Mus musculus: one gene and its partners. The protein of the gene in region 1 purifies or fractionates together with the protein of each later gene. This does not show direct contact. Links are inferred from orthologs where the notes say so. Each region holds a gene or a part of one and is shown in the gene's direction. Other genes may lie near its edges. The genes, in order: Csnk2a2, Nkap, Zc3h4, Ccnl2, Dcaf7, Hadha and Ddx54.

Region 1 (4,578 bases):
GCCTCAGGGGTCGCTCTCAGTCTCCTTTACTCTAGAGCAGCACCTCAAGTTTTGTTTTGGCTGTGACACTGTTATTTTTTAGCAGTGTGAACTAGATTTTTTTGCTGAACTGTCCCTCAGTTTGGCCGTGTCTGGTTGGATGCAGGTTGAGCTTTTTTGACAGCAATGTGATGAGTGGTGTGTCCTTTCTCTGTGCGTCACACAGAAAGTCAGCTGGTCCATGCATAATATGACCTTCAGGGTCCCCTTTGTAACCAGCATGGTAACCGTGGGCCAAGAGCACTGTGTTGACTGAAGGCCTCCTGCCCGGCAGACACTGAGTGACCTGGTGGTGATCACCCAGCCCTAGTCATGCCTTCACATTGTTTTCACAGGGAGGGGACAGATGGCAAACCAGGAGAGGACTCATGCCAAGCTGTAGTTTTACGAAGGGCATGGAGGAGTCGCTGAGAGAAGTATCAACTTCAGAGAAAGTGGCCTCTAAGGTGAGATTTGAAAAAGAAAGCCAGTCATTTGTGGGGTGGCAGCGGTACCCCGTGGCCAAGCTCAGAGAGAAGAAGAAACTGAAAGACGGGCATGCGCTATTCTCAGGGAAGGAAAGGTGTAGAGTTTAACAACAGCGGGAACATGTAGTGTTTTAATATGGAGCAGTCCTTAGTCTCTGTACAGCTCTGTGAAGTCGGTGCTGGGTTGATGCTACAAAATCTGTAGCACGGAGACGTTGAGTCATTGGTTCAAATCTGCATTCCTTGCAAACTATGGAACCGGGACTTGAACCTCGATAGTTCGGTATGTGAAGAAAGAGGAAACGTGGCCTCATCTAGAAAACAGTGTGTGGGGGGGAGGGAGAGGGGGAGTTTAGAGTCAGAGCAACCTGGGCTGGAAGAAGAGATCCTTGTTGTTAAAGAATATGAACAGGAAAACAAGATAGCCGGGGACCCCAGGACATCAATGAGAGAGAAGACTGTTCAAGAAGTCCTCACTCCCCAGCTCTCCCTCCTCCCAAACAAACAAACAAACAAAATGGATATTTACATTCTCAAAGTATGATCCACAAATTACAGGTTCAATACAAAGGGGGAAAAACCCAGTTAACTTTATGGGGAAACTATCTGGTGGGCTCTGGTTTAAGCAAGTGGCCCAAAGGATGGCTCAGTGGGCTCTCAGGGAGGAATCTGGATGGGGAATTGGGAGGCGAGGGTAGCTTTAGGACTAGTTTGGTTTTCCTCTTGAAGGAAGGGATCTGTGGATGGCAGGGTGGGGTCCAGAGTGGGAAGAGGAGTGAGGAAGGGGGACAGTTTGAGGGGAGGGTTCTTGGGTTTCAAAGAAAGTCAGCTCAGGGCCAATATGGGAGGTCGTGGTGGGTGGACACGAGGTGACTGGACAGTGGAACTATGCTAAGCGCGGCGGCAGTCAAAGGTAGAGACTTCTGGGGGGTGGCCTGCAGTTGGGCAGGCAGCCGGCCACATTGCTTGGAGGGTGGCGAGCTCGCTGAGGGGGCGGGCGCCGGCCATAGTCCCCCCGCACTGTAGGGGGCGCTGTGGGCCGGGGCGGGCCGGGGCTGGGCGGCGGCCGCTCCTGGCGAGTGCGGCCCCTTTTCCGGGTTTCCTCCGCCTCCTCCTCCTCCCTCTTCGCCGCCGCCGCCGCTGCCGCTGCCCCTCTCCCGACCGGTGGCTGCCGCTGCCGCCACCACCGCCTCTGGGGGGCCGCGAGCCGAGCGGAGGCCTCCGCGGAGCACGAACCCCGCCGTCCCTCCGGCAGCCGAAGGCCCCGGGCCGGCTCGGCCGGCGCCTTCCGCGCCCCCCGGCCCGAGCGTCCGTCCGTCCGCCCGCCCCCGCGGGCCCGGCCTGGCGCGGACGCCCGCCGCCGCCGCCGCGCTCCTCCTCTTGCTTGGGCAGCCCGCGGCCCGCCGCTTCCCGTGCCTGCCGCCCCGCGCCCCGCGCCGCGCCGCCGCCGCCCTCGGCGCCCCGCGGCGCCCCCCGGTCCCGCCCGCCATGCCCGGCCCGGCCGCGGGCAGTCGGGCCCGGGTCTACGCCGAGGTGAACAGCCTGAGGAGCCGCGAGTACTGGGACTACGAAGCCCACGTCCCGAGCTGGGGGTAAAGCCGCCGCCGGCCGCCCCACGCGCGAACCGCACCCGCCGGCCGCTCGGCCTCGGGGCTGGCAGGGAGGCCCGGCCCCGGCCGCACGTGTCCCCGGCCTCTCCTGTCCGCCCTGCCTCGGTCCCCGGCTCAGCCGCCGGTGGGGAGAAGCGTGGGGTCGGGGGTGGGGGCGGCCCTTCCTCCTCAGACTTTGGGCTTCCTATGGGTTGGGAAGTCCATGGCTGTCCTCTTGAGCTGTTGAAATCTCTACCTCTTTACTTTCTGAAATGAGGCTGGGTGGGAGGGTCATTTTGAAGAGGGGCAGATTGTCTAGAGCGGGCAGTGCCCCCTGGAAGGTGTGAAATGGGAGGCAGGTGCCGTGGAGCCACGGGCAGGGCACCCCAGTACCACCAGGGGGGATGCTTCCCTTAGTCCCCTTAATGGCTCCTGAGGCCTTGTAGCTGCCCATTCCTCTTCTTGTTAAGAGTCAGTTAGGTTAGGAGCTCTGCAGAGTGAAGGGAGCCAAGCTTCTGTGTGGCTCTCATTTAAGAGAATGAGTTGCTGTGTGATGGTAGGAATACTTCCGAATGCTTGATTAGTTGGAGATGGCGGATGGATGTGTGGTGGACAGAGGCTTGCTTAATCCCAAATCCTGGCATTTATGTATATCTCTTGCCTTTCACAGTAATCAAGATGATTACCAACTGGTTCGAAAACTTGGTCGGGGCAAGTATAGTGAAGTATTTGAGGCCATTAACATCACCAACAATGAGAGGGTGGTTGTAAAAATTCTCAAGGTGAGTGGCCAACGGTGGCATGTAACCTTTCCCCCCACAGGGCAAAAGAACCAGCTATCCCAGAATAAGCATCTCCTACAGGACTCCTACCATGCTTTTCCTTGTGAACTTTTGAGAAAATGTGCGGGCTGGTCTTAATTCTGAGTTTGGTAGGTCAGGAACATTTAAAGTGTGAATTCTGAACTTCTCAAACAAAGCTTGTGAGGGGGGACTGTATCTGATATGGAATAAAGAGGTATTCGCAAGAGAGGAAGGAGTTTGCATGGAGAATCTGTCAACTGTAGGGATTCTAAATCTGTACTCGTTACTCTCTGCTCCCAGTTACTCCAGAAAAAGTCCGGAAAACCCAAAACAAAACAAAACTGGAGTCTGCTCAGAGATAAGTTTAAAGCCAAAAATTCAGGACAATTCCCTCAGTTGATATTTTCATTTCATGTAGCAGTAAAGTTTCAGGTGGGCTGGATATAGCAAGCCAGCCGCTAAGAGATCTGGGGCAACAGAAGAGTACATTCTAGCCCCTGAAATAATAACTGGAACAAAACTTGTCTCTGTGGCAAGACTAGCCCTCTCGCTTTGATAATGATAGGGCTTTTGTTATCACTCAAATGAAGACATGATCTTAATGAGCATGAAGAGTCAGCCAAGTTTCTGTACAGGTGATTGAAGATTCAATAGTGCTTTGTAGGTTGTTCGAGAGGGTGGTTCGTAGGACCTGAGCGGTTCTTCATGGTTGTCAAGTCATTTAAATGCATATGCTTGTCACCTTAGGATCTGGGCAGTTTTTCATGTTGTCAGATCACTTAACATGTATGTGTGTCACTAGTGAAAGAGCACTGGAGAGTGGTAGTGTTTCACCAGATTTTCACAGTGCCCAGTGAACAAAAATGCAGGATTGAAAAGCTTGTGCCTTAGGGCAGTTCTTATTTAATTGTGTAGATTTTAGCGTTGTGTGAATCACCTTTCAAAAAAAATGGCTGCTGCTAATGCTCCTTACCATCCTGGCCTAGTGATGAAGGAGCAGAGTTGCTGCAGAGATGGGTGATGCTATTGCTGCTGCCCAAGACACTGGGGTGAGAAGGAAGGAATGATGGCAGATAGGGAGCTTGGCCCCGCTAAGTATGAGTTGTACATTGGAGGTCTGTAGTTATGGGAGGGGTGTGTTTTAAGCAGAGAAATGTTTCCTTCAGGGAACTTGCTGGAGGAAACCATGCAATTTCATTACTTACATAAACCTGTTTTGAATAGAAGTTACTTCAGACATTTTCATTTTAAGGATAAGCAAAAACAAGCATAGTTGGGAATATCCATGTTCTGTTGCTGCACATTTGGAGGATTGAATTTGCCAAGTCTAAAGCAATTTCAGGGAAATGTCTAAATGTCTGTGCAGTAGCATTTTGGGACTAAGTGCTGTTTGCTGTGGAGTGTTTGGAAGGGAACAGTGCTCAGGTGTGTGTAAGCCCCAGTGTGTTTAAGGAAACATAGGGTTAGTAGTTTCCCATGGTTCTTGTGAGGAACTTCAGAGATGAGTTGCTTGATAGTTTTTCCTCTGCTCTAAAGATCCAATGCATATATTTACCACATCCAGTACGGAAGCGGCTTTAAATTATTTTTACAGATAGCAGACCTAGGCACAAAGAAATGTACCTGACATCATTGTTCTGTTGAAATGGACCTTCACCAGAGCTCTTCCTTCCTACTTCT
Region 2 (4,338 bases), on another chromosome or scaffold:
ATACGGTTAATATATGCTCTGAGCAGGTTATTGTAACAGGGCTCTAGACCTTAGTAGGTCCCCAGACCTTAGCACAACTGACTCCATGATGGAAGTACCATTCAGGCTGCAACATTCAGCATGTAGACAGTATCACCTGCCAAAACAAAAGACAAAAGATCAAAGTACATAGTTCTGGGAATATTCCTAAAGGTACTGACCTTCCCTGTTGGCTTCTGTAGTTTCACTTTTGGACATGTTCTTGTTAACTGAAGTATATCAACACAGGACGTGTGTGTGTGTGTGTGTGTGTGTGTGTGTGTGTGTGTGTGTGCGCGCGCAACTTTTTTTTTCGAGACAGGGTTTCTCTGTGTAGCCCTGGTTGTCCTGGAACTCACTCTGTGGACCAGGCTGGCCTTGAACTCAGAAATCCTCCTGCCTCTGCCTCCCAAGTGCTGGGATTAAAGGCATGGGCCACCACCGCCCCGGCGTGTGTGACTTTCTATTGGCTAAAACCCATATCTAAGTAGTCTTCTCTGGTGAAAACATTACAACAGCTATAGTTACAGGTACATGTAATGACAAATAAAGAAAAAGAGGCAATGAGTTTAAAAGAGCAAGAGGAGGCACGCAGGAATGGTTGGAGGTAGAAAGGGGAAAATGACACAATTACATTTCAATTTCAAAAAAATTAAAAACAAAATTAATATTTGAATGCTCTTTTGCCTAAAAATACTTAATACATACAACTATTAATCGTCTACCTTATATTTTGCTGGGCTAGTGTATGATGGACTAGTTGAAGGGGCTTGATAACTTCGTTTTGTGGGACATTTGTAGAGATGGGTGGCTTGAACCTACGTACTAAGATTTTCCTCTGGGTCGCTAAATTAATCGGAGTATAACAGACTGAAGTTATCAGAATGTATGCTTTCTAAGTGAACTGGACAACAATGATCTTAGATTAAAGCTTAACCCTAATCATGATCTTTTGTTTGCTTGGGATTAAAAAAAAAAGAGTGGGAGTGGGGGTTATAATACATACACAGATTCATACGCGCACACTATACAGGCAAAGATCGTCCCACACTAAATAAAGGGAGAATTGGCGGTGTTGCTTATATGGCTACTCAATGAAATACTTGTCTCATTCATCGCAATGTTCTTTCAGGCATCCAGTGCGGTTTAGGTTTCAGAAACCTCACTAGGAACTGGATGAGAGCGTAGCCTCAGTTTCCTGGCCGGCTTCTATATAGAGGTACACAAATCCCTTCCTGTTGGCGGCAAGGACTCTGGGTCCGGGGGAAGGGGTTTACCGCTGTACACGGAACTGTTTCCAAGTTGGTTTTTTTGTTTGTTTGTTTGTTTGCTTGCTTTTTTTCGGATTTGGTCGGCTGCAAGCTCTAGGACCCTAGGTGTCCGGGACCTTTGGGGGTCGCGAGAGCGCCTCCTTGTCCCGCCCCTTGGTAGCTTCAGCTTCCCCCACCATGGCTCCTGTATCGGGCTCGCGTAGCCCTGAACGGGAGGCCTCCGGGGCGAAGCGTCGCAGTCCATCGCGGAGCCCCAAATCCATCAAATCTTCCCGCTCCCCGCGGTGTCGCCGGTCTCGCTCGCGCTCTTGTTCTCGGTTCGGCGACCGGAATGGCCTCAGTCATTCGCTGAGTGGCTTCAGCCAAAGCTCCCGAAACCAATCTTACCGCTCCCGCTCTCGATCGCGCTCTCGCGAACGGCCCTCGGCACAGCGGAGCGCCCCGTTTGCTTCTGCATCCTCGTCCGCCTATTACGGCGGCTACTCGCGTCCCTACGGGGGCGACAAGCCATGGCCTAGCCTGCTGGACAAGGAAAGGGAGGAGAGTCTCCGGCAGAAGTGAGTGAAATCGCCGCACCCTCTCTTGGGTCATTCTGCCTGCCTTTGAGTCCAGCTTGTTCATTGTTTCTGTTTTATTTCGCTTCCCATCCGCCTCGCACCTTTTTCATCTCTTTCTTCAGTTCACCCCGTGACCTTTTTTATTTATCCTTTCTAACTTACATTTTCATTCATCCCTAGACTCCTTCATAAGAGGCCCTGGTTTCCCACTACCTACTTACCCCTACTGGGAAAGTAAGAGGCTATTGTATGCCTTGGTGTCATTATCCGTGCACCTGTCTTTATTCCTCACTAAACGGAAATAGAGGTTTGTGACTTTTATTGATCACAGAATTAGTAGTGCCTGCCTCTTGGTAGGCATGGCAGCTGTTTCTTGTTGCATGAACAAACAGAAAAAATTGAGACAAGAGGATATTTCAGTGGAAACGTTTTGCAGTGAACTGGGAAGTATTGTAATTAAGTATATGTATTGGTTTTGAGGGAAAAGAATAATTAGATGAGGCTATGTTGGGAAAAGTCTTGGCAAGTGGTCTCAGCCGTGTTGACCATGCAAACCAATGTGGGAATGAGATTGGATTTCCTCTAATGGAATTCTTAGTTTAAAAAGACTCACAAATCTTTAGTAGCAACAACTGTGAGACTCTTGAGGCAAGTCAGAACACTCATTCTCATCGACGTAGCAAATTTACGGCCGCCTTGGTCTACATGAGGCCATGCCTCAAGACATATTTAAATTCAAAAGCTGGGCATGCATGATGTCTCACTCCTGTAATCCTAGCGTTCAGGAAGCCGAGGTAGGACTGTCACAAGTAATTCGAGGCCAGCCTGTACTACAGAGTTAATTCAAGGTAGGCCTGAGGTAGAGTGATATCCTGAGAGAGGCTCATGTTGCTGCATTAGTCATAGTATCTGATATGTATGAAGTTTATTATGCTTGTTAAAAATTAGGTCTTAGGCCCTGTACCATGTGTTTCAAAATGGTAAAATTTCAAGTATTACAGGCATCGAGGGGCAAGTTAACTTTCCAACAGTTGAGAGATGCTTCATGTTTTTTTTTCCTCCCCCAGCAGGGGAAGAAATACAGTATAAGAAAAAAAAAGGGCAAGTTTCCGCATTGCCCTGCCTGAGTGTGAAGGTTTTGTTTGTGGTGAAGCAGGATGGTCTTGGGCAAGTGAGACCTTTCCTAGCTTCGCTTCTTCATCATTAAAAATCCGCAGAAGCTGGAGCTGAGCTCAGGGGAAGAATGCTTGCCTAGCAAACCCGAGGCCCCGAGTTGGAGCAGCGGCCCACAAGGGACAGGGAAATCAGTAACAAGGCTTTTAAGGGTGTAATAACATCCATAAGTGAAACAGTCCTGATCTGTTAGAGACCTCTGGGATGGTACCCATGGAGTGTGTCAGTTGAAAAGCAAATGCTGAGCCAGGATCATGTCTCTAATCCCAACACTTGAGAGAGGGTCAGAACCACTAGGAGTTGAAGACTAGCTAGACCCTGTCCTATGAGATCCAGTTTCAGAGGAGTAAAGGATTTACTGGAATGTTAAGTGATTGGATGAGATTTGCATTTGTACTTTTAGGTGATATGAAGTTTATTCTGTCTATTAAAATTATGTCTTAGGCATGGTACTAGGCCTTAGACTTTGTGTTTTAAAATAAGAAATTTTAACATATTACAGGAGCAATAGACATGAGACTTCTGTGCTCTTTATGGCTGGGCAGGCATTCTTCCCCCAGAAGCCACAAACAGTTGTACCCCTTTTCTAAATTATCCATTTTGGCCAAATACAAAATTCTCCAAGTCTCTCTCTGTGTAGTTATCAATACCCTTTTTCATGATCAAAAATGTTAAAAAAAAGAAAAGCCAATTATAGGTCTTTCGTAGTAACTTTTTTTTTAAAGATTTATTTATTTTATGTATATGAGTACACTGTAGTTGTCTTCAGACACACCAGACAAGAGCGTCAGATCACATTGCAGATGGTTGTGAGCCACCATGTGGTTGCTGGGTTTTGAACTCAGGACCTTCGGAAGAGCAGTCAGTGCTCTTAACCACTGAGCCATCTCTCCAGCCCAGTAGTAACTTTTAAAAGTGAGTCATAAGCCATCAAACTTTAAGGAATTCAGGCTAATTATTTTCTTCAAAGAATTATTTTTATTTTATTTATTTTTGGGTGGAGGGGATTGAGACAAGGTCACTATGTATAGCTTTGGCTGTCCTGGAACTCATGTTGATGAAGCTGGCTGCAAACACAGAGAGATCTGCCTGCCTTTGCCTCCCAAGTATTGGGACTGAAGGCATCCACCAGCACACTCAGTGTTATTTTTATTATATTTTTAATTATATGTATGTATGTGTCTGTGTGTGGATATGTACATGTCAGTGTAGATGCCTTGGGAGGCCAGAAGCGTCAGATCTCCTGGAGCTGGGCTTAGAGGTAGCTGAGGGCTAACCAGCTAGGAAGCTAGGAACCAAATTCCAGTCCCCTACAAAAA
Region 3 (4,483 bases), on another chromosome or scaffold:
CAAGGATGACGCCACTGGCTGAGTTATGTAGTGACGTCATCTCCGGGCCGCCTCTTCTCCAGCCCCTCTTCGGGAACGACCGACTCCTGGGACCGGTCTCCGGCTTTCGGTTAAATTTTTTCCCCTCCCATTATTCTCCCACCTAAAACTTTGGGCTCTTCCCGCCTTCCTTCAAACTAGCAATTTTCGGCTCTTCTCGCTTGCTTTGGGGGCGAGTTCCTGAAAGTCATTTACCCTTGAGTTAATTAATCGCCTTTCTAGCCCCACCCGTTCAGCTTATTCGCTAATTCCTATTCGCTCCGCTCAATGTATTTCGGCTACTTCCGCCTCCTCCCGGGATCCCTTCCCTGACTTCGGCTCTTTCCGGACTCTCGCCTCGCCCCCCCCCAGGGGGGGGCTTCTCCCATCCCGAAGCGCTTCGGCTATTTCCGGCTCTCCCGGCCTTCCCTAGCCCCGCCCCCACGACCACCCTTGGTCCTTTAGGTGGGTCTCTGATCCGCTCCGCGTTGCTGCAGTGACCTAGATCTTCCCTCGGCTCTTTCCGGCTTTTTTCAGAGTCTCGTTAATCTCAGCTGTGTTCGGCTCTTTCCGTGCCCTCTCCTCCGCCTCGCCCTTCCGCTTCGGCTCTTTTCGCCGACTTTCGGGCGGGCTGGCTCTGCCCTTCTCCACGTGACGCTCCTCCGGCCTCTCCGCTACCCCCTCCCTCCACGCCCTTCCTCCGGCTTCAGCCTCCGTGCTTGTCCCGGCTGTGCCGCCATTTTGTGTGAATTCCTGACCGCGGCGGGGGCCCGGCAGCTGGGGCATCTAGGGCGGGCAGACAGTCGGCCCATCTCCATAGCCCGATCCCTCTTCTCCCCGATTTTTTTTTAACCATCCCCCCTGCTCGCTCTCCTCTCCCCCCCTTTCCCTTCGCTTGCTCCGTCGCGCGCGGGCCCGCGCTAATTACACCCAACCACCCACCAGTGTCCGTGTCCCCCGGGTCTCAGGCCTTGGGGGGCCGCGTGTGTGTGTGCGTGCGTGTGTGGCGGAAGGGGACCTCTCGTCCCGATGAGGGTCCCGTGCCCGTGAGCGAGTGACCTCAGGGCCAGGCTGCGGAGAAAGCAGGCGGCGGGCGGCCTTGCCGGGGCCTAGGCCTCGCGGCCTACGTGGAAGTCGGCTCAGAGGTGACTCCGAAACCGAAAAAAAAAATACTCGATATCGATCTATGTATCTATATGCCCAGTTCCCATCAGGAGGCCCCGGAGCGCTGAAGTGTGCCCCTCCCGCCACGCCCAAGCAGTCCTTTTTGGTGCATTAACATCCCCTCCCCCTCAAAGGAACGATGGAGGCCGTGCCCGGGACCCCCCCGCCGCCGCCATCAGAGTCGCCACCGCCGCCATCGCCACCGCCGCCATCAACGCCTTCGCCTCCTCCGTGTTCCCCCGACGGCCGCGCGGCCACCCCGCACCTCCTCCACCACCGCCTCCCGCTCCCTGACGACAGGTCAGGCCCCCCGGCCTGGGCCGGGCAGCGTCCCCCGTGGGAGGGGGGGAGGAGGAGGAGGAAGGGGACGGCCGCCATGTTGGGCCGGGCCGCGGAGGAGGAGGAGGAGGAGGAGGAAGGGCGGGGTCGGTGGGTGTCTCTAGCTCGCTCGCTCTTTCTCGCTTCGCTTTCTCTCCCGGCCTCATGCGTTGCCCCCCCTCGCGGCGTTCGCCCGCTCTCCCTCGCTCTCGCTCTGTCTTTTTTTGGGCGCCATGCTGAGGGGAAGGTGAGGAGGCGCCCCCCGGACCCCCCGCGCCCGCCGGTCTGTCGGTCCGTCCGCCCGCCCGGGGCACGGGCCGCCAAGGGGGTGGGCTTGCCGAGGCCCATCAGCCTCCTCGGCCGCCCCTGCTCCGGGAGCTGGCCGTCAGCGGCCTGTCGCCTGGCTTCGGGGAAGGCTTTTGGGGGAGGGGCCCCCGGATTCTCTTGTTTTAGGGGCATCTCCAGCTTGCAGCTCCTCTCTTAAGGGGTTCGGAGTTGGGGGTCTTCCCAATCCCCTACAGTATCCTTTCTCCTGGGGGACGCATACCCTGTCCATTTTGGATAGGTACCCGAGTCTAACGGAGGCAGAAAAATGGGGGTTTGGATCAGCCTTCGCTCTTTCGTTCTAAGGAGGACTCCTTAGGATGGGGGCTCTGGTGCACTTTTAATTTTTTGGCGGGAGGTATTTTCTAGCTTCTCCCTAGAAGGCAGGCAGGTAACGGGTGCATTTCCAGCTCTTTTGATTAAATCCCCTGACCTTCTTTGGAAACCCTATTGGTTTTTTTTTTTTTTTTGGGGGGTCCCTCTCTTTTTGTAGGTAGGTGACAGTCAGTGGTGGAGGGTCCTTAGTTTTAAGGTTTTTGTTTTTTTGCGGGGGGGTTGTATGAAGGTTGCTTTTCCTGCATTGGATAGTAGAGGAAGTTGGCCACCGCTTTCTCCGGGCATCGCCCCCTCTTTGGGGCAAAACAGGGTGCAATCGCCCCCTTGGGAGCAAAGATCTCCCCCGTGTGCTTTGGCAGGACGTGAACTGTGGCGCCTCTTGTCCTCTAGTGCGAAATGGGTTCCCCACGCCCTTCTCTGGCGGGTGATAATGGGACCAGCCCTGCGTGTTTTGAGGATGAGAGGTTTGGGGCCATTTTTGCCCTGCTGGAGCCGAAAGATAAGGGGTACATAGTTTGCTGATTCCTGGGAGCTGGAGTGAGTAGGTTTGAAAATAGGTGGGTTTCAGGGAGCAGAAAAGCTAGTCTTGCAGGCGGGGGTGGGGGTAGGGTGGAGAATGCGCTAGACAGAAGCCTCGCTCGCAGCCGTCAGGGAACCGCAGAGGACCCCTTCAGACCATGGGTCTCAGCCCTTTCTCCCCACTCCCACCTCCTGTTCTCCCTTTCTCCTTCACAGACCCTCCTTTGCCTTTTAAAAGAAATGCCACCCACATTCAAAGACACAGGTGCAGCAGTTTGGTGAGCTTTTTTTACAATTTTTTTTTTCCTGTTTTGTTCTAATTAAATGTATCGTCCTGGGAATCGCAGCCCTTCGCAGTCAAGGAAATAAACAGATTAGCGGAGGTCTGTTCGCTAAGCCCACGTTGGGCTTCCTGGTCCCCTCGGGGGCAGGTGCTTTACTCAAAGGTGCTTGCAAGCTTTATCCGACCTCTAAGGAGTTCTCTTATGTCAGAAGTGTATGTCTTACAATGGGTTGGGATGGTAAGTAGCCTCTTTTATTGAGTAATTCAATTATCTCCCTCTTTTAGTCCCTTTCCTGCCTGCTTACTCCTCGCCTTTAGACCAAAGTGATGCTTGAGAGTGGATTTATTATGTTCAAATCAGGATTCTAACCTATTGAGCCCTTTTAGACTTGCACATCCTTTCAGTGTTTAATTTAAAAATTTTTGGTGTACACAGTTTTCTTACAAAAAAAAAAAAGTGTTACTGTAACATGACAAAAGTCCATTGAAAAGGCCCAATATGTTTTCAGACCCTTGGTGTCCCTCTATTTTCATCCATTGCTTTGTCTCCAGCCTTCATTTGAAAGTGGCTCCCTCAAGTCCCTCTGGAGGGGATAAGCTTACAGAATTTGGTTTGTACTTGTATTCAAGTTAAAGTCACATCCCCTCGCCCTCCCAGAAAAGACCGTTGCAAGCAGGCCCATTTTCCATATTTTTTACTCAAATGTTACTTATGGTGATAGACATTTAAATCGAGCAAGTCATTTGTAAAGTACTGTCTAAGCACAAATGTATGTGTAAACTGTGTCAAGCCCTGATCTCTCCTGTCCACTGCTCTTTGTTCCGAAGCACATGCCTGACCGCGAAAAGTTGATGTAAAACGTGTCACACGCCCAGTCATGTTGGAGAGAACATGTTCCACCCTCAGTCCCCTCACCCTACACATACAAGTTCAACACCACCCAAAGCAGCTGCGGTGGCTTGCGGGACCTAACACTGTCCTTCGGATGTGTTTTACAAGCATAACTTCTGTAAAAGACAAAAACACGTTGAAGTTCCATTGTGCCCCTGGCCCACTTTTGGTCCCTGAAGTACTTTGTTAGGGAAGTCTTTCTCACTCAAGCCTAGTCCTTCCAAAGGAGCCGGTTCCCTCTTTGTGTTCTCAGGGGAGATGATGTCCATCTGCACGTGCAAGCGGCAGTTTGTCAGGCCGCTTGCTTTATTCCTTTAGATGTATTCACAGTTGTAACTGCCATGCAGTGGTGGTCTGATGTAAAATCAGCTCTTTGAGGAAGACATTTCCAGAATGTACAGAATTCCTGCACAAAACGTCTAAAGCACGAACGTAACACACTATCCAGTGCGCTGGGTCAGCTGGACAAAACATCTGAAGGTTCTCATCTCGTGTAAAGTTCCACCAGGAGCTCAGAGCAGAAGCAGGGTCAGCTGATAACCCTTCCATTCCACATGGTTAGAATTTCTAAGTTATGAAAGAACACTTAAACTTTAAAAATAAAATGTTAGGAAATGGGATTCCTTTTG
Region 4 (4,693 bases), on another chromosome or scaffold:
CAGACTCAATGCACACTTCTAGCACAATATATAACTTATCAAGTCCTAATTTCCCTCCTATAATTTGTGTTGCTTTTGACAATTTCACGTACCTCAAGAGTGATTCTAAGTTCCTGATTTCCTGCCTCTACTTCTCACGTGCTGGGATTATAGGTATGTACTGGCCATGTCTAGTTTCTGGGATTCAGGGTACTAAACACAAGGCTTCACACATACTACAGAAGCTTACAACTCCGTAATGTTCCCAGTCCCTAAAGATCTGTCCTCTCACCACTGCAGGCAAGCTTAAGTTTGGCTTCTCTTTCCTGAGGATTCCTACAAGGCTTTTTTGACTTTTTCATCAGCCTAAACGTCACTGTACTAGGTTGGTGTCTTGCATACAATATGCTTAACACTTTGCCAGAATGTTGCACATATATTACTCATTAGCCACTTGCTATTGATATTGGAGAAGATACACATCCATGTGGCCCCATCACTGAGCTTTGTTTTCTACTTCACACAAAAAAGACAAGATACTGCAAATCACTGTTGAGTTGTAACCAAGCATCCCTCTCCAATATAGGTTTCTCTTCCTGATGGATGTAATAGTCATCTCTAGAACCAGAGTCTGGGTTGAGTGACTAGAGCCAACAGTCTTTTCTAATTCTTGGTTCAGTTTCAGCTTAGGGAATGGGCAGACCAGGCAATGACAATTGTGCCTACTTTAGAGCTGCAGCCTAGGGGTGGGACAGACGGACAGACAGTAGCAGCGTGGCCATTACAGTGAGAGGACTGATGAGATCTTTGTGGGGTCTGCTTAGGAGTGGAATCCAATCACCCCACTACAGCTGGACTATGGAATACTGACTTTTGGCAACCTTGTTGGCTGTTCACCATACCTGAATCAGAGTTATACAGGGATCTCCTTAAACTCCCATGTCCTCCCAATTTTCCGTTTCACCGAACCTGGCTGAAATCTTATCAAAAGCTTGAGATAACTGAGCAGTGACAGGAAACATCTATTGTGTAGTGGCAGCAGCACTGTTTTGGGTGAAACTAAGCAGGCCAGGACTGGAGTCAGGAATATTAATATTGTCTGTAGGGTCTACTACAAGCCGTTTCACCTTGATCTTCAAGGTCCCCAAGCCATTTTTTTGGCCTGTATTTGCTGCAGTAGATTATTGGGGGTCCCCTTTAAGAAAAGATTGTGTATATGAGTGCTCTGTTTGCATTTGTGCCTGAATGAGAGAAGAGGATATCAGATTCAATCACAGATAGATGGCTGCAAGCCATGATGTCGTAGCTGGAACTCAGGACCTCTGCAAGAGCAGTCAGTTCTCTGAACTGCTGAGCCATCTCTCCAGACCCTTCATCTGCACTTTTTTGTTTAGTATTTTATTTATTTTTGCGACAAAGTTTCTCAGCCATGGCTGTCCTGGAACTCTAGCTGTAGAGAGAAGGCTGACCTTGAACCCACACAGATCCGCCTGCCTAAGTGCTGGGATTAAAGGCACATCTGCCCTTTTAATGCTGGCAGATCCACCCCACAGCTGTTCCAGAGCCCGAGGACGGAAGGGAGGGCTGAGAACTAAAGACTCCGAACTAAGTCGCGGTGTAACGTCGTGCACGTGGGACTGTGGGAGAAAAGTTGTTCTGTCCCAACCCCCAAAGAAAGGCGCCCTTCTAGAACCCCTTTTGCCAGGCAGGAGTTCCGGTTCGGGCCAGGCCGCGGAGCCAAGTGGGTAACGAGCAGCCCCACCCGTGGGTGCTTCCGGCGTCGGTGCCTGACGCGACACTGACGGACTGGTCGTACGGCCAACGGCGTCGAGACAGCGGTGACGTTCAGCCAATGGGAGGGGGCGGGGCGGGGCGGCCACGATCGTCTCGAGCAGCCGCCCTGACGGGAAGGGCCCGAGAAGAGTCGGCGGCACAAAATGGCGGCGGCGGCGGCCGGGGCTGCGGGGTTGATGGCTCCGGCGTCGGCGGCCTGCTCTTCCGGCTCGGCGGGAGCGGCCCCGGGGTCTCAGGGGGTGCTGATCGGCGACAGGCTCTACTCGGGCGTGCTCATCACCTTGGAAAACTGCCTGCTGCCCGACGACAAGCTCCGCTTCACGCCGTCCATGTCGAGCGGCCTCGACGTCGATACGGAGACGGGACTCCGCGTCGTGGGCTGCGAGCTCATCCAGGCAGCCGGCATCCTGCTCCGCCTGCCGCAGGTAAGGGCCGGGCCGCGAGCTCTGCAGGGGCCGTTCGCCGGCCGAGGGCCGAGGGCCGGGCCTTTGTTGTCGTCCCGGCCCCCGGCCCGGAGCTCACCGGACCCAGGCGACGAGGTCCGAGCCTGTGCGCTCCGCAGCCTTGAAATAACCCGCACCCGCCATCCCTTCCCCTTCCCCTTCCCCCTCCGCCGGAGCCGAAGCCCTTTTACCCCCAAGAAAGCCTCGCGAGACCCAAACCCTTTGGGGGAAATGGAAACTGTCGTGGCTATTTGTCCTGGGGGGAAATCACACAAGACATTGTAGCCGGGACAAGCGTGAGTCCTGCATTCAAACGTGATGGAACCCTCTCTGTCCCTAGGTGGCCATGGCTACAGGGCAGGTGCTGTTCCAGCGGTTCTTTTACACTAAGTCCTTCGTGAAACATTCCATGGAGGTAGGCTTCTTTCTGTTTTCTCGGAGAAATGAATTGGGATGAAACCTGGCCTGTTCTGCCCAGTGCTTAGCTGAATTCTGTCCTGCAAAGTCTACACAGCTCTTTCCCTAGAGGCCTGTCTGTCTCTGTATCTTCTGGTTGTTTCTAATAGTTTTAATGCCTTGGAAGGTTCTCAAGTTGGGGGGAAAAACACCCGTGTCACAATGTACATTTCAGCATGTGTCCATGGCTTGTGTTCACCTGGCTTCCAAAATAGAAGAGGCTCCGAGACGAATCAGGGATGTCATCAATGTATTCCATCGCCTTCGGCATCTGAGAGAGAAAAAGTGAGTCCTTTGCAGAGCTGTCCTAATGTCTGTCATTGTTAATACCAACCTGTGAATTTACAGTAGATTGTTCGCATGTGCCCTAGATGCTGTCTTGGGGCAGTTGGTAGGGGGGTACAATAACCAGGATAGCTGGCTGTCCTAGCCCTGCTGAAACAATTCCTGTATGACCACATCAGCTCACCACCCTATTGTCCTGTTTGTTCCATGGTTCTGCTGAGAACCTCTGAGCACCAGGTCCCTGGTTCTCACCCTCAGCGCTGTTAGTGTCTGAACTGGCCATTCTTTGTTCTAGTGTCATTGTAATATGTCGATCAATATTCCTGGCCTTTCCTTGCCAGAAACCATTTGTAACAGAAATACCCCTAGACAGCTGTCTTTTTTGATATCTGGTCTAGCTGTGTAGCAGTCTTAACCTCTTAGCAATCCCATCTAAATCTTCCTTACGTGTGTGAACCACATTTGTCACCAAGCCTGACAACCTGTATTTAGTTTTGGGATCAACATGGTAGGAGGAGAATTGACTCCAGCAAGTTGTCCTCTGACCTCCATAGGCACAACCCACATACCAAACAAATGTTGTACAAAATTTAAAGAACAAACACACTGGGTTGATTAAATGGTTTAGTTAGTTAAGGAACCTGTTGGCAAGCCTGAGAGCCTGGATTTGATACTGAAGTCCCACGTTGTAGAAGGAGAAGGAGACAACTGACTACAGCAGCCCCCAGCTAAAACATCCACACGGACCAACAGAACCAGAAAACAAATATCCCTAATAGTATAGCAGTGCACCTAGACCTTGTCCCAGACTTTCTGCTCCTTCACAGGAGCCCTTTGGTGTTTGCTTTATTCTGAAACAGTCTTGGCTATGAGCCTCAACAGTCTTTGAGCCTTCTGTAGACCAAGCTGGTCTCACTCATACAGATGGTCTTGTCTCTGGCTCCAGAATGCTGGGCTTAGGGGACTGTACTATCGTGCCCAGCTTAACAAACCCTTTGAGACTTGACCATGTCTCTCTTTTTGTAGTCTATCTGCAGGTTTCTCATTCAAGAGTTCAACTAACTCTTGAAAATATTAGTGTTCGGGGTGAGAGACTGGGAGAGTATGAGGTGGAATAGTTTTTGTGTTGAACATGATTAGACTTCCTTGTCACTGTCCCTTCAACAACATTTCCAGTGTAATAGGTATAAAGTATCCAAATACGATGTGAAGTGTGAAGAGGCTGTGGGGATAGTCCACCACTTTGCGTAAGGTGCTTAAACATTCATGGGTATTAGTATTAGGTGAAAATTGTCATTACCCCAGCACCAGTGTGTACCAAGGGATGACTTTATTGTGCTGTGTTGGTTCTGCAGTTTACAACTCATGAAAAGGGTGATCTTTTTGCCTTGAATTCTGACACAGTGTCATAGCACTGTGCAGAGATCCTCAGACTCTCCACCATATTCAGGAGGTGTGTTGTTACGCTAGAATATTGTTTATGTGTAAAGTCAAGGTGGGGGGCAGGTGGGTAATAAGTGTATGTAGGTTTGAGGACTTCTAAAATTTTGTTACAGGAAATGTCATTTGTAGCTTTCTGGTGCTGTGGTATGTATCGCTTGGAAATAATTGTGGAATCTAAAAGGTTTTGATCAACCCTGGTACAGAGCATATTACTCTTTGCCTTCCCTGCAGGAAGCCCGTGCCTCTGGTGCTTGATCAAGAGTATGTTAACCTAAAGAACCAGATTATAAAGG
Region 5 (3,369 bases), on another chromosome or scaffold:
TGTTCCTGCTTCCCCTTCTCCTTCAGTCTCTTTATAGTCTCCCAATCTCTCAGCAAGGAGAACACATGGTCTGTGTTAGCTCATTGTTTTCTTCCCTTCTCCATCAGGAAACCCTATCTCTAGTGTTCTCGGATCCATAAAGGAAAAGACCATGCTTACAGTGCTGTGTTCATGATAGTGCTTTCCTGCTACACTCTGCAATTATTGGGCCTTTTTCTTGTATTTCTGCAGGTGGTGATTCTGGATGTTCGAGTTCCCTGCACACCGGTTGCTAGGCTAAACAACCACCGAGCATGTGTCAATGGCATTGCCTGGGCCCCACACTCGTCCTGCCACATCTGTACTGCAGGTAACCATGGCGGGAGGAAGTATCAGGCCAGGTGACTGTGGTGGGTCTTAAGGTTTTGTGTTAGTTTTGTTATTTATTCTGTTGAGATAGGGTCTTGCTGGATAATGCTGCCAGGTAGTGACCCGCTGTATTTATCAGGCTGAGCTCCAAATGGCAGCAGTCCCCCTGCCTCTGCCTCCAGAATGCTGTTACAGTCATGTGCCACCACACCTAGCAAAACACATTCATTGGCAATAGTTCAGGTTTTTTATTTATTTTCTGATGGTGCTGGGGATTGGACCTAGGACTTTGAACGTGATAAGAGTTACTCTATCACTTAACTCTGTTCCCAGTCCCTAATGCTGGGGTTACAGGCATGGGTGGAATTTTTTTAATGTTGTATGTTTATATAGCACTTTATGTCAACCATCTGTGTAACTCATTGAAATGTAAATGTACATAAACTGGGAAACAGTCATCAGAGAAGCATCTTTATCCACGCAAGTATTTTTAGTGGCTGTCAGTAACATCATAGTTTGGGGTCATTGTATCCCGTGTCCTTCCCTGATTCCTGACTGCAATGTCCTGATCTAATTCTCTAACCCTGGTATAGTAAATGGAGCTTAATGACACCTGGGAAATGGAGTCAGGACCTAGATTTGGTCCTCACTGGCTACATGGCAAGAAGGAGCAAGTCTGGTGACATTCCTAAATCTTGGTTTCCTCTTCTCTAAAATAAAGCCCTTTCACAAAGCTTTGATGAACAAATGTTTCACAAATTGTGACTGCCTCTCCAGATGCAAGATTGTTACCCCATTGCCTGAGCTATGACATTCTTGCTTGCTTTTTCCCTAGCGGATGACCATCAGGCCCTCATCTGGGACATCCAGCAGATGCCTCGGGCCATCGAGGACCCTATCTTGGCCTACACAGCTGAGGGAGAGATCAACAATGTGCAGTGGGCCTCCACTCAGCCTGACTGGATCGCTATCTGCTACAACAACTGCCTGGAGATACTCCGCGTGTAGTGTTGGTGGCACCTCACGTATCCGGCAGGGGCTTGTGTGCTTCAGCCTCTGCCCCCTTCCCTCCCATGTAAGAAGAACATGTTCCCAGTGGCCAGTATGTCTACTGCTGCTTTACACCCACTGTGTTCAGAAGCTGCTGTAGAAGTCCAGGCCAGTTACCCCGCTGTCTGTGTTGGACTGTGCTGTGTGGCGCCACTGCAGCCCAGGGCTGGGTTTTAAATTTTCACTCCTTTCCTCTTCTTTGCTTCTTCAATTAAACGTTTCTGTATATTTGTTTGTCAGCTGTTGTGTTCATAAACAGTACAAGCACTGGCTCTGTCTGTGTCCATTTGCCCATGTCTGTCTGTCTGCTGCTGAGGCAGTCATCCATCTCGTGTCCCCATCTGTGTCGTGCTAGCACTTAAGTGGGAACAAAGGCCAACTTGAGATTGTCTTTCCTCCTGGCACCAGTGTCTTTTAACAAACCTCAACTTTGTATGTTTTTTATCTATCAGGCTAGTTTTTTTATGAAAAGAATTTAACCTTTCTGGTTTCTTGATTTCACAGATTTCCCTCTTTGTACCTTCCTCTCTTCCCTCAGTGCCTGCAGTGGGTACTGGACCCTAGACCCCACGAGCAGTTTGCTTTCCTGAGTCACTGCCTGTGGGGCACAGCCCTGACCCCTGACCGGGAGTTGACAACTGCGCTGGTGCTCTGAAGTCTACTGACTCACCAACCGTTCTCAGCCTGGGTCTCCTGAAGGCCCTCGGAGGCCCAGGAGATGCAGGAGGCTTCTGTTCACCCTCAAGTCCCTTTCTCTGGCTTCACTAGTTGAGTACCCTGTGGGGCTGAGATAAGCAGTTGACTAGGGGTCATGCGGAAGGAGAATCATGTTCAGGAAAGCTGAACTTATATTGTGTTTCCAGTACCTGGTTTCAGAATCTATTTTTCCAGTTTCGAACTTGAATGATAGGCAAGAGAGATCTCTCAGCTAAGCTTCTGTGTTTCTGTTTGCTGAGTCTCCTCTACCTGGTGGGACACTGGCCCATCTTTGGATTGAGTACTCTGAATAAGAGACTTCCTGGGAGCTACCGTCTGTGCTTGACCCTGAACAAGATCTTTAGACTGTGACAGACAGGCAGTTCTCATAAATGATGAGCAAATCAGCCAAGGTAGACTCAGGGCCAGCCAGCTAAGACTCTCCACGCCTGTGGCACCTGCCCTCTCTTCAGTTAAGGTTATGAGCAGTATTGGACTTTGTAGGCTGCAGTTGGCCATGCTGACTTACAGGCCTCGCGTGTCTGTTTCCGTTAGGTGTATGGGTTCCACAGAGGGGACTTGTATGTGGTTCTGACTTTAGATGAGTCCCCGGCAGTTTGGAACATGGTCTAGGAGAGGGTGGCTGTTTATAATCTGCTGAGCTGCTTGCAGGTTTCTTAGACGCTCTGGGACAAGGAGAGCAGCAGGCCTGATGGCTGATGGCTGGTTGGCCACTCATGCTGCCATTGCTGGAGAAGTCAATGTCGACTCATTCTTCTGGGAACATGGACTGTCTGGCAGAGTCTTTGCTTGCTTCCACAACTGATGTAGTTGTATGCCAAAAGTCTTAGATTTAGATTCACTATATTAGGACCTTGTCCCAAAGGAAAGGCCTTTTCAGTCAGGGTATTTCTCCTTGGCCTTCCTAATCTGTCATTCTGATTTTGGGTCTCTGGGGTTCCTGCACTAACCTGTGGCTTGTCCTGGATCAGTTTGTGGTTCCCTCTGCTCTTAGTGGCGTTTGCCAGCCAGGTACAGACTCCTCAAAGGTAGCAGACTTGCTGATGGTTGCTGCTGTAGGAGCCCTCAGTTTCTTCCTGGGCTGAGTCTACAGTAGTAGGCTGAGTCAGGGCGTCGCAGGGCCTGTAGGGAGCACCTGTGCTGGGGAGCACCTGTGCTGGGGAGCACCTGTGCTGGGTGGACTTTAGCTTGGGGTGAATGATAGGATTGTCAACTAGAACTTGAAAACAAAGTTTTAAAAGGTTAGCAGCAGTT
Region 6 (4,415 bases), on another chromosome or scaffold:
TCTCTACCAGCTCTGGTTTTTACACCTTCAAAGAGTTGCAACGTGTATGTGTGTGAATGGTTCCGTTTTTGTCAGTTCCATCTCTAGTTTAGGAAAAATGATAAAAAGCTGCAGGCAACACAAAACAAGTATGTAACAGAGCACAGGGTGGGCTCACAAAACAAACTATTTTCTGTGTGGCTCTTTACAAAAAAAGGATATGAAATAGGTGTAGTGGAAGGCGTGGTATGGGAAAAGGGTTCCTTTTTTGCAATTTACTCCGAAGTGGTCATTTAGTACCAGCTTAAAGTGTTCTTGGTGGTGGAAGACTTAGTTTGACTAGAGCTTTAAAACAGGACGCTCCTTTCTTTCTAGAATCATTTTAGCCATTTCTTTCCTGTGTGGCAGAATAATCAATTAACTAGCAAGTGCCACTTCTGTTTGAATCCTGGCTTGCCACAGAGAAGGTATTATAATCTTTCTGAGCCTGTCAAGTCACCGAAAGTGCAAATGAAACGTGGGGTTTGTGCGTATTAAACAAAATGGTGCACACACCGGAAGCTGACTTTACTTTCTTTTGAAAACAATCAGTTTATTTCAGGGCTCATCTTTCCAGCACCAAAACAAACAACTCACACCCTGGCGCCCAGAAGAGCTGAACTCTCAATTAAAAGTAGACTTAGGTTCTAGACTAATTCTACCACCTGTGGCGCAGTCTCAGTCACTAGCTACGGCTACTTCACAGAAAAAAGAGTGAGGGGTGGCAGGTTTGCCCAGATGTTTGCTGGGTTAGAAAATGTCCGTGAACCCTGGATCACCAAGCAGACTGGAGGACTGTCTTGGCTGCTTTCACCCCCGAGACCCGCACTTAACGACGCGTTCTCAATCTCTACAGCCGCCAGACTGCCTAGACAGGTCAACAACAGGGGAAACGACACCGCTCTGACACAGCCCAGCGTTTCACACACACGCAATCCATTCGTAAACCTGAAGTGACAAATGCAGACAGAAGACACCGCTGCCGCGAGCTACGCGAGAACGCGACCACCGCCCGCCCTGAGGCGGTTCGCACTGGAGGCCTGGACCAGCCTGTCCCGCTCTTGGGACTTCGACCCTCACAGCAAAGGGAAGCGGCCGCGGGCATCGACGAGAAGAGTCGGGAGCAAAGTGGCACCTGCCTGTGGGGAAATCAGAAGAAAACCGAGAAGCGCGCTGCCGCACCTTAGAGTCCGCGAAAACTGCCGCTGCCAACAAGGTCAAGTCCAGACTGACAAACGTCCGCCCACGCCGAGGGGCGGCTCCCGCTCCGCAAGGACCCCCTCTCGCCCCGCCCGCCATCACCGCGGCATTTACGGGCTGCCCGCTGAACGCCTGAGCAGAAAGTCAGACACTCCGCCCTCTCCTCGGAGGTCCTTAGTCTCACCTTCAGAGAAATCATCCTTTCGGCTCGCTTAGTTGAGAGCAAGAGGTAGGGCGACAGGACGGGTGGCAACTCAGAGTCTGCGTTTTAGTAAGGCGGCACTTAGGACACCCTGCCGGACAGGCTCAGAAAAGAAAAGCCCTCGGCTCCATTGCCCCCCACTAGAAGAGCTTTCGTCCTCTTCTGCTCAAGATGGTGGCGTCCCGGGCGATTGGCAGTCTCAGTCGCTTCTCTGCCTTCAGGATCCTACGCTCCAGAGGTGAGCCTGGAGAGGGCTCGGGAGAGTCTCGGAGTGCCTTCAGGAACTGGGGCGGCGGGGAGCAGCGTTTGCCTCTCACTGTCTGCCTCCCACCCCTTTCCCGGGACCCGTGGAAATGGGGCTACTGTTCCGAGACCCTATTTCCTGTGTCCTTGTAAAGGAACTGTCACACCCTCTCTCGCCCTGCTCCGGCAGTGTCAGGCTCTCCCCTAACTTTCCTGAGTCTTTTCCACTTAGTCTGGCAGTTTGCGCAGGTCTCTGCTGTAGCCCTGAGCTCACGCCCCTCTTGTCTCCCTTAATGTTTGTCTTGGCCCTGACACCGCTAAGTTCGGAGGACTAAGTAAGACCTGTCACATTTTTGAGGCTCTACTACATGTTAGTCGCCATAAGAGATATCTATCAGCCTTCTCGGTGACATTGACTACTAGCCTTACAGATCAATGCCACTCCTTGATCTTTTCCGTCAAAACCATTTTTCCCCCCCAGAGAACTCAGCTCTCCCACTTCAGTAATCTTAGTTTGAATGTATAGAAGGTTGAAACTGGAGGTTCTCCGACTTAGGCAAAGAAATTTTGATGAGGAAAAAAATTTTTGATCACTTAGAAACTATTTCTAATCTCATTTCTGTCGATTCCCAGTCAGGCTCCAGGAACTGCATTCCTTTTCAAGCTGGCAGTGAAAGGGTTAAAGGGGTGTTGTTAGAAAACAGCCTTTTCCCAGACATCCCAAATCTGTAAGGGCAAATGTAACTTCATTGTGTATCATACTTGATACTAGTTACTTCCCAGACTTTAGTTTGTAACGTGAATTCACTTTAATTTTCCTCACAAAAAAAAAGGGATGCGTGTAGAATTTACTTCTCTTACCCTCCCCTGGCATTTAATTGATTGAATCTTTTTCTACTTTTTTAAAAACCTCCATAGATCGATTATGTGTAAATAGCCAAAATTGCTACCCACCAAAAAAAAAAAAAAAAAAAATTAAAAAAAAAAAAAAAGTGAAGTGGACTGGGTGCTAATTCACCTTTAATATTAGGTGGGTCTTTGTGTTCCTGTCTGGTCTACATAGTTCCAGGCCAGTCAGGGCTACACAGTGAGACCCTGTCTTTTAAAAAAAAGAAAAGAGCCGGGCATGGTGGCACACGCCTTTAATCCCAGCACTTGGGAGGCAGAGGCAGGTGGATTTCTAAGTTCAGGGCCAGCCTGGTCTACAGAGTGAGTTCCAGGACAGCCAGGGCTATACAGAGAAACCCTGTCTCGGAAAAACCAAAAAAGAAAGAAAGAAAGATCCATCGATCTCTATGTCTCCTGTTTGCACTTGGTTGTGTTTCCTTTTCCACATTTATAACAGTTTTAGGGGAAAAAAGGCACCTATGGTCCTGTATTTGATGTAAGGTACTTTCATGAATTGGCAGCCAGGTTAGCACTGGAGTGGTGATTGGGTCACATGTTCTCTTGTCACTAGCTAGCTGTTGACTTTGCCCTTTCATCTAAATGGGCTTTCTTTTCCCATCTGTGAAATGAATGAGAGTGATTTTTTTTCTTTGACAGGAGAAGTAGTATGATGGAGCAATTAAAAGCATTAAATACGGACTCTGTCATCTGGCTTGAATCTACAGTTTACCTTCTAGTGACCTTGGGAATTAATTTCAGTATCTTTATCATTGGTAAAATGGAGTCAATCATGTTAAATCTAAAGAAGTTATATTAGGTATAACACATAGGCATACATTCTCAATAAATGTTATTAGTTTTTTATCCCTTAGAAGCAATGACTATATATAGCTGAGAACTTGTAATCTATCCATTTTACATAGGTAATAAAAAGCTAACAGCTAAATTTTCCTATACTTCTACATAGAAACATATCTAAATATATAAGTTGTATTTTTTTTTTCATTAAGAAAATGTAGTCTAGAGCTGGAGAGAGGTTAAGAGCGCTGACTGCTCTTCCCAAGGTCCTGAGTTCAAATCCCAGCAACCACATGGTGGCTCACAACCACTCGTAATGAGATCTGATGCCCTCTTCTGGAGTGTCTGAAGACAGCTACAGTGTACTTACGTATAATAAATAAATCTTTAAAGAAAAAAAAAAAAAGAAAAGAAAATGTAGTCTATTATAGCTACAGATTATTTTAATACCAGCTTATGCACTTTGAAAAAATATGCAGGAAAGTCTATTTAAAATTAGCTGTACACCTGATTTACTATTTAGAGTCTAGACTCAGCAGGTCTGTCCTTGACCCTGAGAGTGTGTGGAGGCATTGCCAAATGCTTAATGAACTATGGCACTTACTGTGAAAGAGATCTTGTACAATACTGTTATTCTAACATGACTATCAAAAAAGTCATAAGTTGATCTTAATATCCATTTAATTCCTACTTTTCCTAATTCCTAAGTATGTAAGTGGTAAAACAATTTTACAAGAAGTGAACGGCAATTAGTAGTTATTTTTAAATCTGACTCTCACTTCTTGTCCCAGGGTTGAATTTTGAAAAAGCTATAAATTTCTATAAACTAAAGTAACGTTTCCAGTTTTCAAAGTTGTGCAGCACAATCCAACCCTTCCCACTGACTATAGTTGTATATGACCTTGTAGATATTTTCTTGAGTTACACATGAAGATGATTAGAAAGTAGGGCAAAGGTTTTGCATTTGCTGGCACTGAAAATGTAGGCTAAAGTTCACACCGCGTCTGTATAGTAAGCTTTGTTGTTAGGGTAAGGCTGGATTCCAGAAGCAGTTACCTTGTACTTT
Region 7 (3,375 bases), on another chromosome or scaffold:
ACAGAGGCTCTGGGCGCCATTAATCACATCTCCCACTTGACCCTGCAGGCTGAGTGTCAGTGGGGCTGGAGGGGCCTTTGAGCAGCAGGTGGCTGGTGCAGTCCTGGACCTGATGGGGGATGAAGCACAGAACATGAGCCGGGGGCAGCAGCAGCTCAAGTGGTGAGTGACCATTCCCTGTGCCACCAGGCGTGGCCTTCTGTGTCCCCCTTTGACTGCTCAGAGCAAGATGGCGACTCCGTCCCTGGAAGCTGGCCTTTCTCGGTAGCCTCTTACCTGCTATGCCCACAAGGACTCTGATGATGTTCCCCCGACACACACAGGGCTCGAATGTGTTGTGGGGATCGAGCTCCGAGTCTCCAACTCCCGTGCTCCTTTTGAGACTTGGGCTGTCCAGGGAAGGTGAAGGAACTGAGTGTCCAGTGCAGACCTGGTGTGACTGGCTGTTTTCCTTTAATCCTCTACTGACTATATAAGTGAGGCGACAGGATCCTCAAAGTAGAACCTCCCATCTCACTTTCAGGGACCGGAAGAAGAAGCGGTTTGTGGGGCAGTCAGGCCAAGAAGACAAGAAAAAGATCAAGACAGAGAGCGGCCGGTTTATCAGCAGCTCTTACAAGCGGGATCTGTATCCTGAGAGGCTGGGATGCAGAGGGGCAGGGCCAGGCGGCTACCTGCTGCTGCTCCTATAGGCGTGGCCATGTCTGGGGGCGGGGCCGGGCGTTCAGCTGCTGCTCCTATAGGAGGGGCCAGGTCTAGGGGCGGGGCCGGGTGTCATGCTGCTGTCCCTATAGGAGGGGCTGCGCCTGGGGGCGGGGGCGGGTGTCTTGCTGCTGCTCCTATAGGAGGGGGCGCTGCGCCTGCGATGGGACCCAGTGGTTTCCTCAGCATCCCCGTAATAAGGGGCCTTTCTCCAACTTGGGTGCTACTTGCTACTTCCTTAACGAGGCTTTCAGCTACCAGAAGTGGAAGCAGAAGCAGAAAATTGATGACCGGGACTCCGAGGAAGAAGGGCCATCCAACCAGCGAGGCCCTGGGCCCCGCAGAGGTGGAAAGCGAGGTCGTAGTCAAGGTGGGCAGGGCAGGTGGTATGGTGTGAACAGGAAGAAAGCCAGGCATGGTGAGGCACAGGGATGAGCACGGGCCCAAGGCTGAGCTCCCCCCAAATCCCTGTGTTGACAGGCACATCCCAGCCCCGAGCTTCCAGTGTACCCGCAGGCCGCATGCGCTCGGAACTCAAGACCAAGGAGCAAATCCTCAAGCAGCGCCGGCAAGCTCAGAAGCAGCGCTTCCTGCAGCGAGGGGGCCTGAAGCAGCTTTCAGCACGCAACCGACGCCGAGCCCAGGAGCTGCGCCAGGGCGCCTTTGGCCGGGGTGCTCCCTCCAGGAAGGGCAAGATGAGGAAAAGGATGTGAGGAGCCAGACGCAGCCCTGGGGCTTCCTGGTAGCCCCGGGTGTGGACGTCAGGGACTATGTCCATGTGCTGTTGGAAGATCCTTCCACAGGCGCTGCTCTGTGAGGAGTAGTGCCATATGGCCACAGAGCAACAGCTGCTTTTGACTGGGACATTGGGTGACCTCTGAAAGGATGCATAGGAGTCTAGCTATGCAAAGCAGGCAGACCCAAGTCCTGACCCTGCAAGTCACAGCGGCTTCTGGTTCCACACCTTCAGGATTCAGAGATCAGGGCCGTGTGGATGCCTCTGACCCAGCATTGAGTTTTAATGTAATAAACTTTACTGCCTCTAGTAGACCAGGAGTGTGGCTTCCTCAGGATGTTTTTGGAAGGTGTCTCAGCTGTTGTTGAGGCTGAGAGCAGGTGGCCATGCCTGCGTGTCCCTCCTGGTCACTGAGATGAGGAAAATGAGTCACCCAAGGCAGCTCAGGACTGCTGCGGGGCAGAGAAAGGCTGTGGTGGCATTGCCCTTCTTCACATGGAAGAGAGAAAGCAGCCTGCGCCAACCCTCGTGTCTTCATTCTGCTGGTGGCTTTTTCCACCTCTTGCTTGAGGTCCTGGGTGTGTGTGTGTGAAGCATCCTCCAGTAGCCAGACCCCAGTGCAGGTCAGGCACACATTGGGGACTACCCCGTTGGGCCCGAAGAGCAGATGGTACCAATAATCCCCTGCCGCTCAGATCCACTGTACATAGCAAGTGCACATCCTGGAGTGCACTGGGCTCCATCTGAGCTTGTCCAATGCCCCCCCCCCCAGCCAGCTGGGAGAGGCCTGTCCCCAAGCCTGTTGTGGTGGATGGAGTGACCAGCCCAGCTGTCAACCCCATTGTCTACTTAACTGAGTTCATACTGAATGTCCCGTGGAAGGCTCACAATGGCGTGAGGCGTCACCGCTCTGTCTTGCCCAGGAGAAAGGATAGTCAGAGAGCGGTTACGTTGAGCCTGCACACCAAGAAATGTGGGACTTGGTCCCTCAGGTCCCCTTCACCGTTCGCCAGGCCGGATTAGGAAGCAGTAGCTGTAGGCTGAGCCAGGGCAAGTTTGGCCAGTGTGGCTGAGATGTTCATGATAAACCGCTTCACCTGGGGGCAGAGATGACATGGCCAGAGTACATCCTCTCCCCACCCCCACAGAGGCAGGCCCAGGGCAGGGGTGGGGCTGGAACCCTGACTGGAGAGGCACTGATAGTGTCTAGCCCAGCCTCCTAAAAGTATCCTTTGTTCTGTTTATTGATAAAAGTACAACTCAAACTTGGCCTCTAACTCAAGGTATTCCTCCTGCCTCAGTTTCCTAAGTGTTGAAAATGATAGTATATAACACAGATTTTTTTTTTTTCTTTTAGACTGTATAGGGTCCCTATATAGTCCTGGCTGTCCTGGAAGTCGCTCTGTAAACCAGGCTGGCCTCAAACCTAAGAGTTCCGCCTGGTTCTGCCTCCTGAATGCTGGGGTTAAAGGCGGGTACACTGCCTTGCCCAGCCACTGAAGGAATCTAAACCAGACACTTGGCATCTTTCCAGCTGGCTCCCTGCCAGCCTGGTGTCCCACCCATGTCAGGTCGTGTCTCCCTTGGATCAGGCTTGGCTTGTTGGCTTGTAACCTCATCGACATAGCATCTTTTCGTTTTGTGCTAATTGCTCAAGTATAGGAAATGAACGGACACCTATAGCCCCACCACCAGGAGCCAGAATACAGCACATGTACAGCAGCCTGTGGGAGCCTCTTCATGTCCATCACCTGGGTAAACACTGAGACCATAACACAAAGAAGGGAAAAAACCAGAATAGCCATCCCTTGCCATGGCAGCGACAGGGAGGATGGTGACAGTTCTCTGTTCTGGCCAGCCTGACAATGATTCTTGGCCTTGAGAGGGGGGCAGGAGAGACCCAGCACCCTCCTGATTCTCCCTCACAGGAGCAACAG

The links.
Region 2: the proteins of Csnk2a2 (region 1) and Nkap purify together in Homo sapiens (affinity purification with mass spectrometry; 5 studies listed by BioGRID and IntAct, counting the BioPlex papers as one, with this or other methods). This does not show direct contact. The link is inferred for Mus musculus from reciprocal best matches to the Homo sapiens genes CSNK2A2 and NKAP.
Region 3: the proteins of Csnk2a2 (region 1) and Zc3h4 purify together in Homo sapiens (affinity purification with mass spectrometry; 3 studies listed by BioGRID and IntAct, with this or other methods). This does not show direct contact. The link is inferred for Mus musculus from reciprocal best matches to the Homo sapiens genes CSNK2A2 and ZC3H4.
Region 4: the proteins of Csnk2a2 (region 1) and Ccnl2 purify together in Homo sapiens (affinity purification with mass spectrometry; 3 studies listed by BioGRID and IntAct, with this or other methods). This does not show direct contact. The link is inferred for Mus musculus from reciprocal best matches to the Homo sapiens genes CSNK2A2 and CCNL2.
Region 5: the proteins of Csnk2a2 (region 1) and Dcaf7 purify together in Homo sapiens (affinity purification with mass spectrometry; 8 studies listed by BioGRID and IntAct, counting the BioPlex papers as one, with this or other methods). This does not show direct contact. The link is inferred for Mus musculus from reciprocal best matches to the Homo sapiens genes CSNK2A2 and DCAF7.
Region 6: the proteins of Csnk2a2 (region 1) and Hadha purify together in Homo sapiens (affinity purification with mass spectrometry; 3 studies listed by BioGRID and IntAct, with this or other methods). This does not show direct contact. The link is inferred for Mus musculus from reciprocal best matches to the Homo sapiens genes CSNK2A2 and HADHA.
Region 7: the proteins of Csnk2a2 (region 1) and Ddx54 purify together in Homo sapiens (affinity purification with mass spectrometry; 3 studies listed by BioGRID and IntAct, with this or other methods). This does not show direct contact. The link is inferred for Mus musculus from reciprocal best matches to the Homo sapiens genes CSNK2A2 and DDX54.

The regions. Positions count from the first base shown.
Region 1 is NC_000074.6:95,485,864-95,490,441, reverse strand, and holds the start of Csnk2a2 (casein kinase II subunit alpha'), read left to right. Parts: upstream 1-1,621; 5' UTR 1,622-1,994; coding exon 1,995-2,098; exon of another isoform or gene 2,099-2,240; intron 2,241-2,281; exon of another isoform or gene 2,282-2,765; coding exon 2,766-2,877; intron 2,878-4,578.
Region 2 is NC_000086.7:37,125,530-37,129,867, forward strand, and holds the start of Nkap (NF-kappa-B-activating protein), read left to right. Parts: upstream 1-1,233; 5' UTR 1,234-1,466; coding exon 1,467-1,846; intron 1,847-4,338. UniProt on the Homo sapiens protein: Acts as a transcriptional repressor. Plays a role as a transcriptional corepressor of the Notch-mediated signaling required for T-cell development. Also involved in the TNF and IL-1 induced NF-kappa-B activation.
Region 3 is NC_000073.6:16,399,560-16,404,042, forward strand, and holds the start of Zc3h4 (zinc finger CCCH domain-containing protein 4), read left to right. Parts: upstream 1-1,636; 5' UTR 1,637-1,733; coding exon 1,734-1,747; intron 1,748-1,775; exon of another isoform or gene 1,776-2,919; coding exon of another isoform or gene 2,920-2,957; exon of another isoform or gene 2,958-3,177; coding exon of another isoform or gene 3,178-3,200; intron 3,201-4,483. UniProt on the Homo sapiens protein: RNA-binding protein that suppresses transcription of long non-coding RNAs (lncRNAs). LncRNAs are defined as transcripts more than 200 nucleotides that are not translated into protein.
Region 4 is NC_000070.6:155,810,612-155,815,304, forward strand, and holds the start of Ccnl2 (cyclin-L2), read left to right. Parts: upstream 1-1,877; 5' UTR 1,878-1,916; coding exon 1,917-2,198; intron 2,199-2,556; coding exon 2,557-2,631; intron 2,632-2,847; coding exon 2,848-2,957; intron 2,958-4,631; coding exon 4,632-4,693. UniProt on the Homo sapiens protein: Involved in pre-mRNA splicing. May induce cell death, possibly by acting on the transcription and RNA processing of apoptosis-related factors.
Region 5 is NC_000077.6:106,053,500-106,056,868, forward strand, and holds part of Dcaf7 (DDB1- and CUL4-associated factor 7), read left to right. Parts: intron 1-231; coding exon 232-349; intron 350-1,183; coding exon 1,184-1,356; 3' UTR 1,357-3,369. UniProt on the Homo sapiens protein: Involved in craniofacial development. Acts upstream of the EDN1 pathway and is required for formation of the upper jaw equivalent, the palatoquadrate. The activity required for EDN1 pathway function differs between the first and second arches.
Region 6 is NC_000071.6:30,152,125-30,156,539, reverse strand, and holds the start of Hadha (trifunctional enzyme subunit alpha, mitochondrial precursor), read left to right. Parts: upstream 1-1,559; 5' UTR 1,560-1,591; coding exon 1,592-1,658; intron 1,659-4,415. UniProt on the Homo sapiens protein: Mitochondrial trifunctional enzyme catalyzes the last three of the four reactions of the mitochondrial beta-oxidation pathway.
Region 7 is NC_000071.6:120,625,878-120,629,252, forward strand, and holds the end of Ddx54 (ATP-dependent RNA helicase DDX54), read left to right. Parts: intron 1-48; coding exon 49-162; intron 163-523; coding exon 524-628; intron 629-956; coding exon 957-1,072; intron 1,073-1,182; coding exon 1,183-1,415; 3' UTR 1,416-2,457; coding exon of another isoform or gene 2,458-2,535; 3' UTR 2,536-2,715; downstream 2,716-3,375. Other genes in the region: Cfap73 (cilia- and flagella-associated protein 73), read right to left, coding at 2,458-2,535.